Saccharomyces cerevisiae S288C: one gene and its partners. The gene in region 1 interacts genetically with each later gene. Each region holds a gene or a part of one and is shown in the gene's direction. Other genes may lie near its edges.

Region 1 (3,179 bases):
TTTACGATCTGCCTTTGCTCTTTCAAATAGATAACTGTTTTTGTCATGGATCTAATAATCATGTAGTAAAATATGATTAATGCAAGCGCCATAGGAATCAAGGTGATCAAGATTAGTGGAGATGGTGCCTCCATGTCGGTCAAATAACTTTGGATCAAAAATCCAATGCAAATTGCATAAGTTAACGCACCATACATTTGGCAACGCCTCATCAACGTTTTATTCAACTTAGGGTACACGATACCGTAGCCCAAAGCGATAATCAATAATAGGAAAAATGAAAATGTAACTTTACCAGCCGTCAATATCGACAAGAACACCATATAAACTTTTATTCCCGCAGTATCACCTTTTTCATTTTTCAAATCATAGTAAGCCCATACAAATATGGTTTCTGCGGTTAAAAATACAAAAAAGGCCAGCAAATACTTTTGTAATGGTAACAATTCATGCTTGTGCTTCCAGAAGGCGAAGGAATATAACGCCATCGCCACAACGTATGCGACCGCCAAAAGACCATATAGTGGCAATTTGTTGATCTCGGTGCCCGCAAGCTGACCATAAGCATTCCTGAAATTCACCACAGCGTTGAACTTGGTAGACGTCGATGATCTGAACGCAGTAACACAATAAAATCCGGTTTCTTTTATTGGGTATCTAGTATCATGAAGGCCGACCTCATTTTGAGAAAACGTCATGATTGGATTGGCCAAAGATCTATTTGTGGAAGTATATGGATCATATACAACATCTTGAACAATAAACTCATCACGATTCTCCTCTTCACAAATCCCGATATCAATTGCATAATCATCACAAATATAATACATTTCTTCATCCGGCAATTGCACACCTAAGTGCTCAAAGTCTTGGAAATCATAGATTGCAACGACTAAGCCTGGATCAGACTCATCACTCAATCCACTTATTTTTTTAAGATTGAATGATATAAACGGGTCTATTTTGCCCTTCCAATCTTCTTTGGAATACATACCTGCGCATACTTGATAATTCTTTTGACTTATCTTTTCCTTGTTAGCTTTTACGAACACTAGAAGGTAGCATAAGAAGCAGGTGAATAATTGGAAAGGTCGGCAAAACTGATATACTCTCATTGTGCCCTTACACTCTTAGTTTCTGTAAATTTACTGCCTTTTTACCAGCTGTTTCTTGAAATTACCGAGAAAATATTCTATTTCAATTTTTAACCTGCAAAACCTGAACAGAATAGTTGATCCTCTTGACTATTAGTTTGAGGCTAAGTTTTTTTTTCCACTCTCCCTATTCCTACTCCTATATATATCTTGCTCTATCTTTTTCTTCAAGTTCGTTTTTTCACACACTATTTAAAAGACCAAGCTTATGTGTGACGTGCACGGGTGCAATATCTAAATCGGGCAAAACAACTAAGCAGTAATTAAAGTACCACACTCTAGCCGAAAAGAGGTATACATGAAGGTTGAAGATTCGGAAGCAATTCCCAAATTATGTTCAACATTACGGATATTACAATGTTCAATGCGCATAATACACCATAGAAGAAAATTGGCACTACGTATATACTGTCCATTGTTCTTTTAAACACAAAATTGAAACGTCTGCGGTCTCTTGAGGATAAAACAATGTACATTGAGTATAGTAACATGCTAAGCGTTAGCTTGTATCATCAAGACCGTCAAAGCAGGCATTTCATCAAATCTATAGGACCACTTAGCGGAGTCCTGGTGATTGTAGAAATAGCCTTCTAACGTATCAAGTGATAAATAATTTAAGTTTTCCGAATTTCAGTGATCTACTTACAATATTGCTTATTAATCATTATAAAAAGAAGCGTATTTAGCGGACTAATTAGAATACATAAGGCATTCTCAGCGTAATCTAAGCAAAAAAGCAAGAAATTGACTAACAATGTTCAAATCAGTGGCTAAATTGGGGAAGTCTCCGATTTTTTACTTAAATTCTCAGAGATTAATTCATATTAAGACTTTAACAACTCCAAATGAAAATGCTTTAAAATTTCTCTCCACAGATGGCGAGATGCTACAGACGCGTGGCTCCAAGAGTATAGTTATTAAGAACACTGATGAAAACCTCATCAACCATTCCAAGTTAGCACAGCAAATTTTTTTGCAGTGTCCAGGAGTGGAGTCTTTAATGATAGGTGATGATTTTCTCACTATTAATAAAGACAGAATGGTCCATTGGAATAGTATCAAGCCTGAAATTATAGATTTGTTAACCAAGCAACTTGCTTACGGTGAAGATGTTATATCCAAAGAATTCCATGCTGTCCAAGAAGAAGAAGGAGAAGGTGGCTACAAAATAAATATGCCCAAATTTGAACTTACCGAAGAAGATGAAGAGGTCAGCGAATTGATTGAAGAGCTGATAGATACAAGAATAAGACCAGCCATCTTGGAGGACGGCGGTGATATCGATTACCGTGGGTGGGATCCAAAGACTGGAACCGTTTATTTAAGATTACAAGGTGCATGTACCTCATGCTCTTCTAGTGAAGTGACTTTGAAGTACGGTATTGAGTCCATGTTGAAGCACTATGTGGATGAAGTGAAAGAAGTGATTCAGATCATGGATCCTGAGCAAGAAATAGCATTAAAGGAATTTGATAAGCTTGAAAAAAAGTTGGAATCGAGTAAAAATACAAGCCATGAAAAGTAAATATTCCGTCCTTCAAATGAAAATACAAGATGAGACGAAAATAAAAGGAAGTGTGTATATACTGTCTTTACCCTCACTATTACTTGATAGTCCGTACATGTTTCAACGGTCATCATGGAAAAAGGGTAAAGCACTCAACTTTTTCCATACACTAAAAACGGGTGCCCTTTTTACTGTGTTATTCGTACCATTATTTATTCACTTATTTATTTATTTTCTTTGTACAGTCACAGTAACACTCTAGTTTTGCAAAGCTCTCAGCCTTTCACGCATTTCATTTACCATCCTATCTGCTTCCTCATCAACTTTTTCATCCGGAATTTCTTGCTCTTCTTCATTGGCTGCTAATTCTACGGTTGGCACTTGGTCAACATTCTTGAATTTCTCGTTTGTGTATTGTTCAACTATCTTATTAACTTCTTCATCAACAGCTTCGTCCATCTCTTCCCCTACGTCCCCAACACTCTCCATGGTATCATCCACCATTTCACTTATAATCC
Region 2 (2,900 bases), on another chromosome or scaffold:
ATTAAGATACTTGGACCATCAACACCTTCAAAATGCCTTTGACCAAGTTTCTCATCAAAAGTAGTCTCCAATACAGCAAATTCTTCGATTGGAGGGTTATATAAAACTGACTTACCGTTACCAGAGGACCTGTCGAACTTTAAAGGCTGCATTTTTTGCTTTTCCACAGGATCATATGTATAGGTTAACATGGAGACCAAGTTTTTAACATCCTTGAATTTTGGAGTGAAGCCTGCTCTAACTACGTTGTCAGAAGCAGCCATACATTCCATAATATCACCGCTTATATAGGCGTGAGGATCCTTAGCTCTTAAAAAGATGGCTTCACCAGCATTCAATCTGCAGTGATTCAACAATAAACATCCACAAAACAAACCCACGTCATCAGGGAACTGTTTATTCAGTCTTTGAATTAATTCTGGTAAATCAGGTTTGTTAAAGTCTGATGGAGAATTCTTTGATCTTTCGACCAAGGAGCGAGCTTGAATCTTGATTTTGTCATCCGAAGCGTTCATGACCCTGCTGAAAACAGCTTGCAATAGCTTTTTGTTTTGCTCATCTTCTGGGGAACCTTTCTGAGCAGAAGGTTGAATGTTCTCAATAAAATTCCTGGAAGTTTCTTCACCAACAATGTTGCGTAATTCAGGAATACGTTTCAATTCATCTGCAATCTCTTGCAAAGGTTTGAACCCGCAGAAACCTTCAAAGTCAGTCACAGCGATGGCCATTTCAGGTTTGTGATTATCATCAGGATAGTTCTTAGGATCTTGAGCGTGCAATATTTTACCCAAGGCTTTGTCGGGATGTGCTTGAATAGACAAGACTTTTTCAATGGACAAAACTTTGAAAAGGAAGGGCAATTCATTTGTGGCGTGGAACTTATCAATAATGTCCTTACCTAACATGGCAGAGGGGTTCTTGGAGATGATATCTCTCAGGGATTCCTTAGACTCATGGTTGTAGGAAGGCATCTTGCTGTGGGTACCCATCCATAACTCTGCATATGGTTTATCTTGTTCAATTTGAACAGAGGGGTCAGAATGGGCAGCAAATTGAGCGACAGCTGAAGAAGAGCCGATTTTACCCCAGTCGTATTGTTGGTAGCCTACATAGAGTCGTACGCGTTAGTTAGTGTACCAAAAAAAAAAAAAAAAAATACTCAAAGTATTCAAAATATTTGACGAAAAATGGCACATACCTGCATCTAACCTGAACAGCTTGTTGGACATGTTTTAAAATTTTCTGGTCTGATGTTCTTTACGTGTTTAGTGTTGAATGATTACAAGAAACAAACATTTTATACAGAAATATACTAAGATTGCGACGTGTATATTTAAATACGTAAATCGCGGCGAAAAAGGACACGGACGCGACAAAAAATTGCTACAATAACCAAGCAGCACGAAATGGATAGTGCACCACGAGACTTGGCATGATCAAAGTGCAAAAGAAAGCAGAATAACAAATTACTCCCGCAAAGTACTAGCTATATCAGGGAACGACTTTATTGGCATCTTGTTGTAGCAAGGTTTTCATGATTCTCATCCTTGCGCTTGTCGCGCGGCACGATGCCAGTGCGGAGTTTCCGCGATATGATGTAACTGCAGCTGTTGGTGGCGAACTTTGCATAAGATCGACCTCCTACTGATGAGAAAGATAGGATGGATTATATAGAAGAGCACAAGCAACGATGAATGGGTTGGTATTAGGCGCTACAGGTTTATGCGGAGGCGGGTTTCTGAGGCACGCACAGGAGGCACCCCAGTTCTCTAAGGTATACGCGATCTTGAGAAGGGAATTGCCCTTTCCGGCCACTGATAAAGTTGTGGCCATAGTAGAAAGGGATAATTCAAAGTGGTCACAATTGATCACCAATGAAATGAATCCGCAGGTGCTATTCACCGCACTGGCAACGACAAGGGCAGCTGCAGGCGGTTTGGACAAGCAATACAAGATCGATCATGATTTAAACTTACAATTGGCCCAGGCTGCCAAGGAAAAAGGATGTGAAACGATCGTTCTCGTTTCTTCCGCTGGTGCTCATCCGGACTCCAGGTTCGGCTACATGAAGATGAAGGGCGAGATTGAACGCGATGTTATCGCTCTTGATTTTAAGCACATTATAATTTTGCGCCCAGGCCCTCTCCTTGGTGAACGGACAAATTCTAAACAAAGCGGATTTGGCGGCAATCTGACTGCTGCTTTGGGCACTCGCGTGTACCGTTCTAGATTCCAGAGGTTGCTAGGCTATCCAGTTTATGGCGATGAGGTAGGAAAAGTTGGTGTTCATTTGGCGTTGAATACTTCTGGGAAAGACAAGGTTCAGTTTGTCTCCAGCAAGGACATTCTTGACATCTCAGCTTCTCTGGAGAAGATTGCTACCTAAATCAACCAACGGCTTCTTCTCGCAGCTACAGTTGTATTTTACTGTGACGTACTTTTGCGCGCGTACGGGTTCAATGAATTACGGATTTTCAACAACTTCACACAATCATAGCTTTTTTTACTTTTTCGCCTCATTATTTTCTTTAAAGAAACGATGATAAACAGAGATTTATCGTCATGTTATTTCGTTCGTATATATCGTATTTGCGTTTTAGCTGTATAAAGTAAAATACTATATCTAACGTGGCTTTTTTTATTTCCCCGTCTGCCCTCTTATGCTCATAGAAAACACTAATGATCGGTTTGGTATCGTCATAGATGCAGGGTCTTCGGGTTCGAGAATCCATGTGTTTAAGTGGCAGGACACGGAATCGCTTCTTCATGCAACAAACCAGGACTCACAGTCCATATTACAATCAGTACCTCATATTCATCAAGAAAAAGACTGGACTTTTAAGCTGAATCCAGGCTTGTCGAGTTTTGAAAAAAAACCTCAAGATGCGTACAAATCTCAC
Region 3 (2,749 bases), on another chromosome or scaffold:
TTGCTAGCTGTTGGTGCCACTCCTCTCATTGGTGATGATATCTCCTTCACCCGTGGATCAGGAGTCGCAACTGCTTTAATGCCACCAGACTCATTCTCAGTCGTGCTAGTATTAACAACAGGTAATGGTTTCTTGGCAGTGGAAGCTGAAGAAGAGGTAGACCGTTTGCTAAACAAAGATCCAAAAATCGACCTTTTAGTCTTTTCTCCACTAGTCGAGTTGCTTCTCTTGAGAGTAGCATTAGATGGTGAAGAAATTGGCGGGTGCTTTCCCTTGCCAACAGAAGAAGATGCGGTGGCGTTTATGGCAGAACTGGCCAGTCTTGGTTTGGACGAGACCACAGCATTGGATATAGAAGTGGAACGTTTTTTCCTTACAAATTGAGTACTTGAGCCGTTGTCATCATTATCTATAAGGTCTATGGCGTCTACGGTAGCCGGATTATCAATGTCAGCGGAATCGCTCCGGTTACCGCTATTAATAGGAGTAAGTAGCGGTATGTTATCAGTGTCTGATGCAGAGGTATTACCATCGTTCCTCTTCAAATCTGGTTTCTCAGTATTACAAAGTGCTGCATTGGATACAGATGACGACCTCGCACGAGGCTTATCATTGCTAGACCTGTTACCACTCGTGCTATTGTCTCCGTTTTTCGAAGAGGACGTAGATGAAGAGGAGGCTGGCGACGTAGAAGGCCTCGATGGCTTCGTATTTGTCTTCCGTCTACTCTTACCTTTATACAACCAATCTACGGGCACATCGAACTCGGTGTTAGTTATCATAACCTAGATGCTATCTCCACTCCCTATGCTTGCTTTGGTGGACTATTGTTTCCGTTATTCGCAATTTCTATAGGACTACTATAGATTATATAAACTGAATTTTAGCTTTATGCTGTGGTGTTATTTCCCAAAACACGCTCTTCTTTCTTACGCTTTCCGTTAGCTTATTTGCTCACGGTATCAAGATTACTTTTTTTTTTTTTTCTTCTTTTCTTTTTCTTGCACTACCCTCTTCTTCTTGTTCTTCCTTGCGTTTTTACCCCTCTTCCCTTTATTTTGCAGCAAAAAGAAAGATGGAAAGGCAAAAGTGAAGGCATGATGATGACAAACTTGAAAAGAAAGAGAACAGCGAAAAGAGATGAATAATCCATGGCAATGACTGCACGCTCATGGGTATCAATTGGCTAGGTCTAATATTGTTATTGTTTGGAGTATGGCGTAGAGAAGTGGTTCCTTAACCTTAATTAATGCCCGTGCCATGATGATTGCATCACTGAGACGTAATGTGGAAACACCACTTCTCGGTCCGCGGACATCAACCGAAGGAAAAATGACAAGCTATTTCCGTGTATATCCGCGCCAATCCCTTCGGGGCCGAAGTTCGGAGGCTTTATCTCCGCTTAGCCAAGGCCGTCAAAGGCGATAAGGTGCGTTGCACCCCAATTAGCCATGGAGAAGGAAAAAAAAAGCATGTATGATCATGATGATGCAAAAATTGAGAGGAAAAATGACTCAGGCTATTTATATAAGTAAATGAAAGGGTTTCGTTGTAGCCTTTTCTGCTCTCTTCCTTCGCTCTTCCGCATATATATTTGTGTTCAGAGATTATTCTTAAATCCATAAGAACATCCCTTCATATAACAATTGAATAAGGAAAACACAACACATAACACATATTTAACCTGATGCTTCCTGTTATAACGAGATTTGCAAGGCCTGCTCTGATGGCCATCAGACCTGTGAATGCCATGGGGGTTTTGAGAGCGTCCAGCATAACGAAAAGGCTTTATCATCCCAAGGTCATAGAGCATTATACACATCCAAGAAACGTCGGCTCATTAGATAAAAAATTGCCCAACGTCGGCACTGGTCTAGTGGGTGCGCCAGCGTGCGGTGATGTGATGAGGTTGCAGATCAAAGTCAACGACTCTACTGGCGTTATTGAAGATGTCAAATTCAAAACTTTTGGATGTGGCTCCGCCATTGCCTCCTCTTCATATATGACTGAATTGGTACAGGGGATGACCTTGGACGATGCGGCAAAAATTAAGAACACTGAAATTGCTAAGGAGTTGAGCTTGCCCCCAGTCAAGTTGCATTGCTCTATGTTAGCGGAAGATGCGATCAAGGCAGCTATTAAGGACTACAAATCTAAGAGAAACACTCCAACCATGTTATCGTAATGAATAAGAAGATAACCGGGACAAGAACAAGATCAAACCCTCACTAATCAACAAGTTGGACTTAATTTGTGCAAGCATGGATGTTTCTCATTAATATTGTCATATTTCTTTCCCTTAATCTAGCATTTCCTTTCTCTCCCTCTTCTCATGCATATCTTCCTAGATATATTTCTCCAGGGTGAAAGCGGGACGGACGTGCTTGTTTTACCTCACCTGGTACTACTAGTATTTTCATTACTCTTTTTTCATCCTCCCACTTCCCCCTTATATATTTGTTTTCCCATGTGTGGTATATGGCATCATTATTATATAAATATTCTTTAGTTGTAAAAGGCTGTTTTAATTAACACTATTTATCGCTAGACAAAACTAGACTTTCATTATTTCCTTCATTTCAACGCTTGTTTAAACATGTGCTAGGTAAGCGAGTTTTTTACTTTTACTTCCAATAAATATATATATATATATACGTATACATGTATGGGCGGGCTACAACAAAATGAAATAAAAAGCGTCAGGATCATTGTTTTTTACCATACTTGACTTCTCTGAAAAAATCCATGA
Region 4 (3,116 bases), on another chromosome or scaffold:
TTTCTTTTATAATTTTCGCATATAATTATACATTTACGGTGTCTTAACTCTCCCTCTTCACCCCTCATTATTCCAGAAAATACTAATACTTCTTCACACAAAAGAACGCAGTTAGACAATCAACAATGAATCCTAAATCCTCTACACCTAAGATTCCAAGACCCAAGAACGCATTTATTCTGTTCAGACAGCACTACCACAGGATCTTAATAGACGAATGGACCGCTCAAGGTGTGGAAATACCCCATAATTCAAACATTTCTAAAATTATTGGTACGAAGTGGAAGGGCTTACAACCGGAAGATAAGGCACACTGGGAAAATCTAGCGGAGAAGGAGAAACTAGAACATGAAAGGAAGTATCCTGAATACAAATACAAGCCGGTAAGAAAGTCTAAGAAGAAGCAACTACTTTTGAAGGAAATCGAGCAACAGCAGCAGCAACAACAGAAAGAACAGCAGCAGCAGAAACAGTCACAACCGCAATTACAACAGCCCTTTAACAACAATATAGTTCTTATGAAAAGAGCACATTCTCTTTCACCATCTTCCTCGGTGTCAAGCTCGAACAGCTATCAGTTCCAATTGAACAATGATCTTAAGAGGTTGCCTATTCCTTCTGTTAATACTTCTAACTATATGGTCTCCAGATCTTTAAGTGGACTACCTTTGACGCATGATAAGACGGCAAGAGACCTACCACAGCTGTCATCTCAACTAAATTCTATTCCATATTACTCAGCTCCACACGACCCTTCAACGAGACATCATTACCTCAACGTCGCTCAAGCTCAACCAAGGGCTAACTCGACCCCTCAATTGCCCTTTATTTCATCCATTATCAACAACAGCAGTCAAACACCGGTAACTACAACTACCACATCCACAACAACTGCGACATCTTCTCCTGGGAAATTCTCCTCTTCTCCGAACTCCTCTGTACTGGAGAACAACAGATTAAACAGTATCAACAATTCAAATCAATATTTACCTCCCCCTCTATTACCTTCTCTGCAAGATTTTCAACTGGATCAGTACCAGCAGCTAAAGCAGATGGGACCAACTTATATTGTCAAACCACTGTCTCACACCAGGAACAATCTATTGTCCACAACTACCCCTACGCATCATCACATTCCTCATATACCAAACCAAAACATTCCTCTACATCAAATTATAAACTCAAGCAACACTGAGGTCACCGCTAAAACTAGCCTAGTTTCTCCGAAATGATTTTTTTTTTCCATTTCTTCTTTCCGTTATATTATATTATACTATATTCCCTTTAACTAAAAATTTATGCATTTGGCTCCTGTTTAATAAAAGTTTAAATCGCCTCAAAAGAACAATTGAAAAATATGTAAAATAACAGCAAATAAAAGTCAAAATTAAAACAAAGTACCCAGAGACAAAAAAGAAAGAAAAGAAAAAAGAAACAGTCTACAAATTCTATTTGAATATATAAAATTATATTCTCAATTTTCACGTATATATTCACCTCACAAATAATATCATTCCTTTAAAAAAAAATATGTATTATTGTATAATGTTTCAGCATAGTCGTTTTTTAAGCCCTTTTTTTTAAACTTAAAAAACAAATCAATGAGATATTGTATACCTATATTATCGATAATAAAGCGACGAGGATGGACTGCAAGATATTGGTGTTAGGCGCAGGTGGTCTAGGATGCGAAATCCTGAAGAATTTGACAATGTTAAGCTTTGTTAAACAGGTTCATATTGTAGATATAGACACAATCGAGCTAACCAACCTTAATAGACAATTTCTTTTTTGTGATAAGGACATAGGCAAACCGAAAGCTCAAGTGGCAGCCCAGTATGTAAACACGCGGTTCCCTCAATTGGAAGTTGTGGCGCACGTACAGGACCTGACCACTTTGCCCCCGAGCTTTTACAAAGACTTCCAGTTCATAATCTCGGGGCTGGACGCCATTGAACCTCGTCGCTTCATCAATGAGACTCTCGTGAAGCTTACCTTGGAGTCCAATTATGAAATTTGCATCCCGTTCATAGATGGTGGAACAGAGGGGCTCAAGGGACATGTAAAAACAATCATTCCAGGCATCACTGCATGCTGGGAGTGCTCCATTGATACCTTGCCCTCGCAGCAGGATACTGTGCCAATGTGTACAATCGCCAACAATCCTCGCTGCATTGAGCATGTTGTGGAGTATGTCTCAACTATACAATACCCTGATTTAAATATTGAGTCTACGGCGGATATGGAATTTCTGCTGGAGAAGTGCTGCGAAAGGGCTGCCCAATTTAGCATCTCAACAGAAAAATTATCAACAAGTTTTATCCTGGGTATAATAAAGAGTATCATACCTAGTGTAAGCACTACGAATGCGATGGTTGCAGCGACATGCTGTACGCAGATGGTTAAGATTTATAATGATTTAATCGACCTGGAAAACGGCAATAATTTCACTTTGATTAACTGCTCAGAAGGGTGTTTTATGTACAGTTTCAAGTTCGAGCGGTTACCCGACTGTACTGTTTGTTCAAATTCCAATTCCAACTAGTATTACTAATGAATAATACCATCCGCCGGTGTCACTTGTTTAAACATCTTGCAAGTAAGTCGAGATCCTAGAGAGCCTTGTACATGTGATTGCACAGTAAAGAAGGTATGCAGGCTAAATTATTGTTTACCAGACTAAACTTTAGACGTCCCTCCACAACTTTACGCCAGTTTCCCCTAACATGTTTTTTATTTCATAGCAAAGCATTTTACTCGGATCTGGTCACTAAGGAGCCGTTGATCACACCGAAAAGAATAATAAATAAGACGCCTGGGTTAAACTTATCTATTTCTGAGAGGGCTTCCAACAGACTAGCTGAGATCTACCGCAATAGTAAGGAAAATTTAAGAATTAGTGTGGAAAGTGGTGGATGTCACGGTTTCCAGTACAATCTAACTCTAGAACCCGCTACCAAGCCAGATATTAAGAATGATGTCAAAGACAAGGAGTTTTCAGACGACCTTGACGATGATGATTCCAAGGATATAATATACGTGTTACCCGAAGATAAGGGTCGAGTGATAATTGATAGTAAATCACTAAACATTTTGAATAACACTACACTGACATA

Evidence for each region.
Region 2: mutations in NFU1 (region 1) and FMP52 together harm fitness more than expected from each alone (negative genetic interaction), as found in Saccharomyces cerevisiae (2 studies listed by BioGRID).
Region 3: mutations in NFU1 (region 1) and ISU1 together harm fitness more than expected from each alone (negative genetic interaction), as found in Saccharomyces cerevisiae (3 studies listed by BioGRID, with this or other methods).
Region 4: mutations in NFU1 (region 1) and UBA3 together harm fitness more than expected from each alone (negative genetic interaction), as found in Saccharomyces cerevisiae (2 studies listed by BioGRID).

What each region holds. Positions count from the first base shown.
Region 1 is NC_001143.9:360,558-363,736, reverse strand, and holds NFU1 (Nfu1p), read left to right. Parts: upstream 1-1,908; coding exon 1,909-2,679; downstream 2,680-3,179. Other genes in the region: PTM1 (Ptm1p), read right to left, coding at 1-1,115; ESCRT-III subunit protein VPS24, read right to left, coding at 2,920-3,179. UniProt on the Saccharomyces cerevisiae protein: Involved in iron homeostasis within the mitochondrion where it is involved in the assembly of iron-sulfur proteins.
Region 2 is NC_001137.3:157,890-160,789, forward strand, and holds FMP52 (Fmp52p), read left to right. Parts: upstream 1-1,690; coding exon 1,691-2,386; downstream 2,387-2,900. Other genes in the region: mannose-6-phosphate isomerase PMI40, read right to left, coding at 1-1,105, 1,199-1,229; YND1 (apyrase), read left to right, coding at 2,661-2,900.
Region 3 is NC_001148.4:295,866-298,614, forward strand, and holds ISU1 (iron-binding protein ISU1), read left to right. Parts: upstream 1-1,687; coding exon 1,688-2,185; downstream 2,186-2,749. Other genes in the region: protein phosphatase regulator GIP3, read right to left, coding at 1-782; ODC1 (mitochondrial 2-oxodicarboxylate carrier), read right to left, coding at 2,706-2,749. UniProt on the Saccharomyces cerevisiae protein: Scaffold protein for the de novo synthesis of iron-sulfur (Fe-S) clusters within mitochondria, which is required for maturation of both mitochondrial and cytoplasmic [2Fe-2S] and [4Fe-4S] proteins.
Region 4 is NC_001148.4:679,568-682,683, forward strand, and holds UBA3 (NEDD8-activating protein UBA3), read left to right. Parts: upstream 1-1,645; coding exon 1,646-2,545; downstream 2,546-3,116. Other genes in the region: ROX1 (Rox1p), read left to right, coding at 126-1,232; ISA2 (Isa2p), read left to right, coding at 2,653-3,116. UniProt on the Saccharomyces cerevisiae protein: Catalytic subunit of the dimeric UBA3-ULA1 E1 enzyme.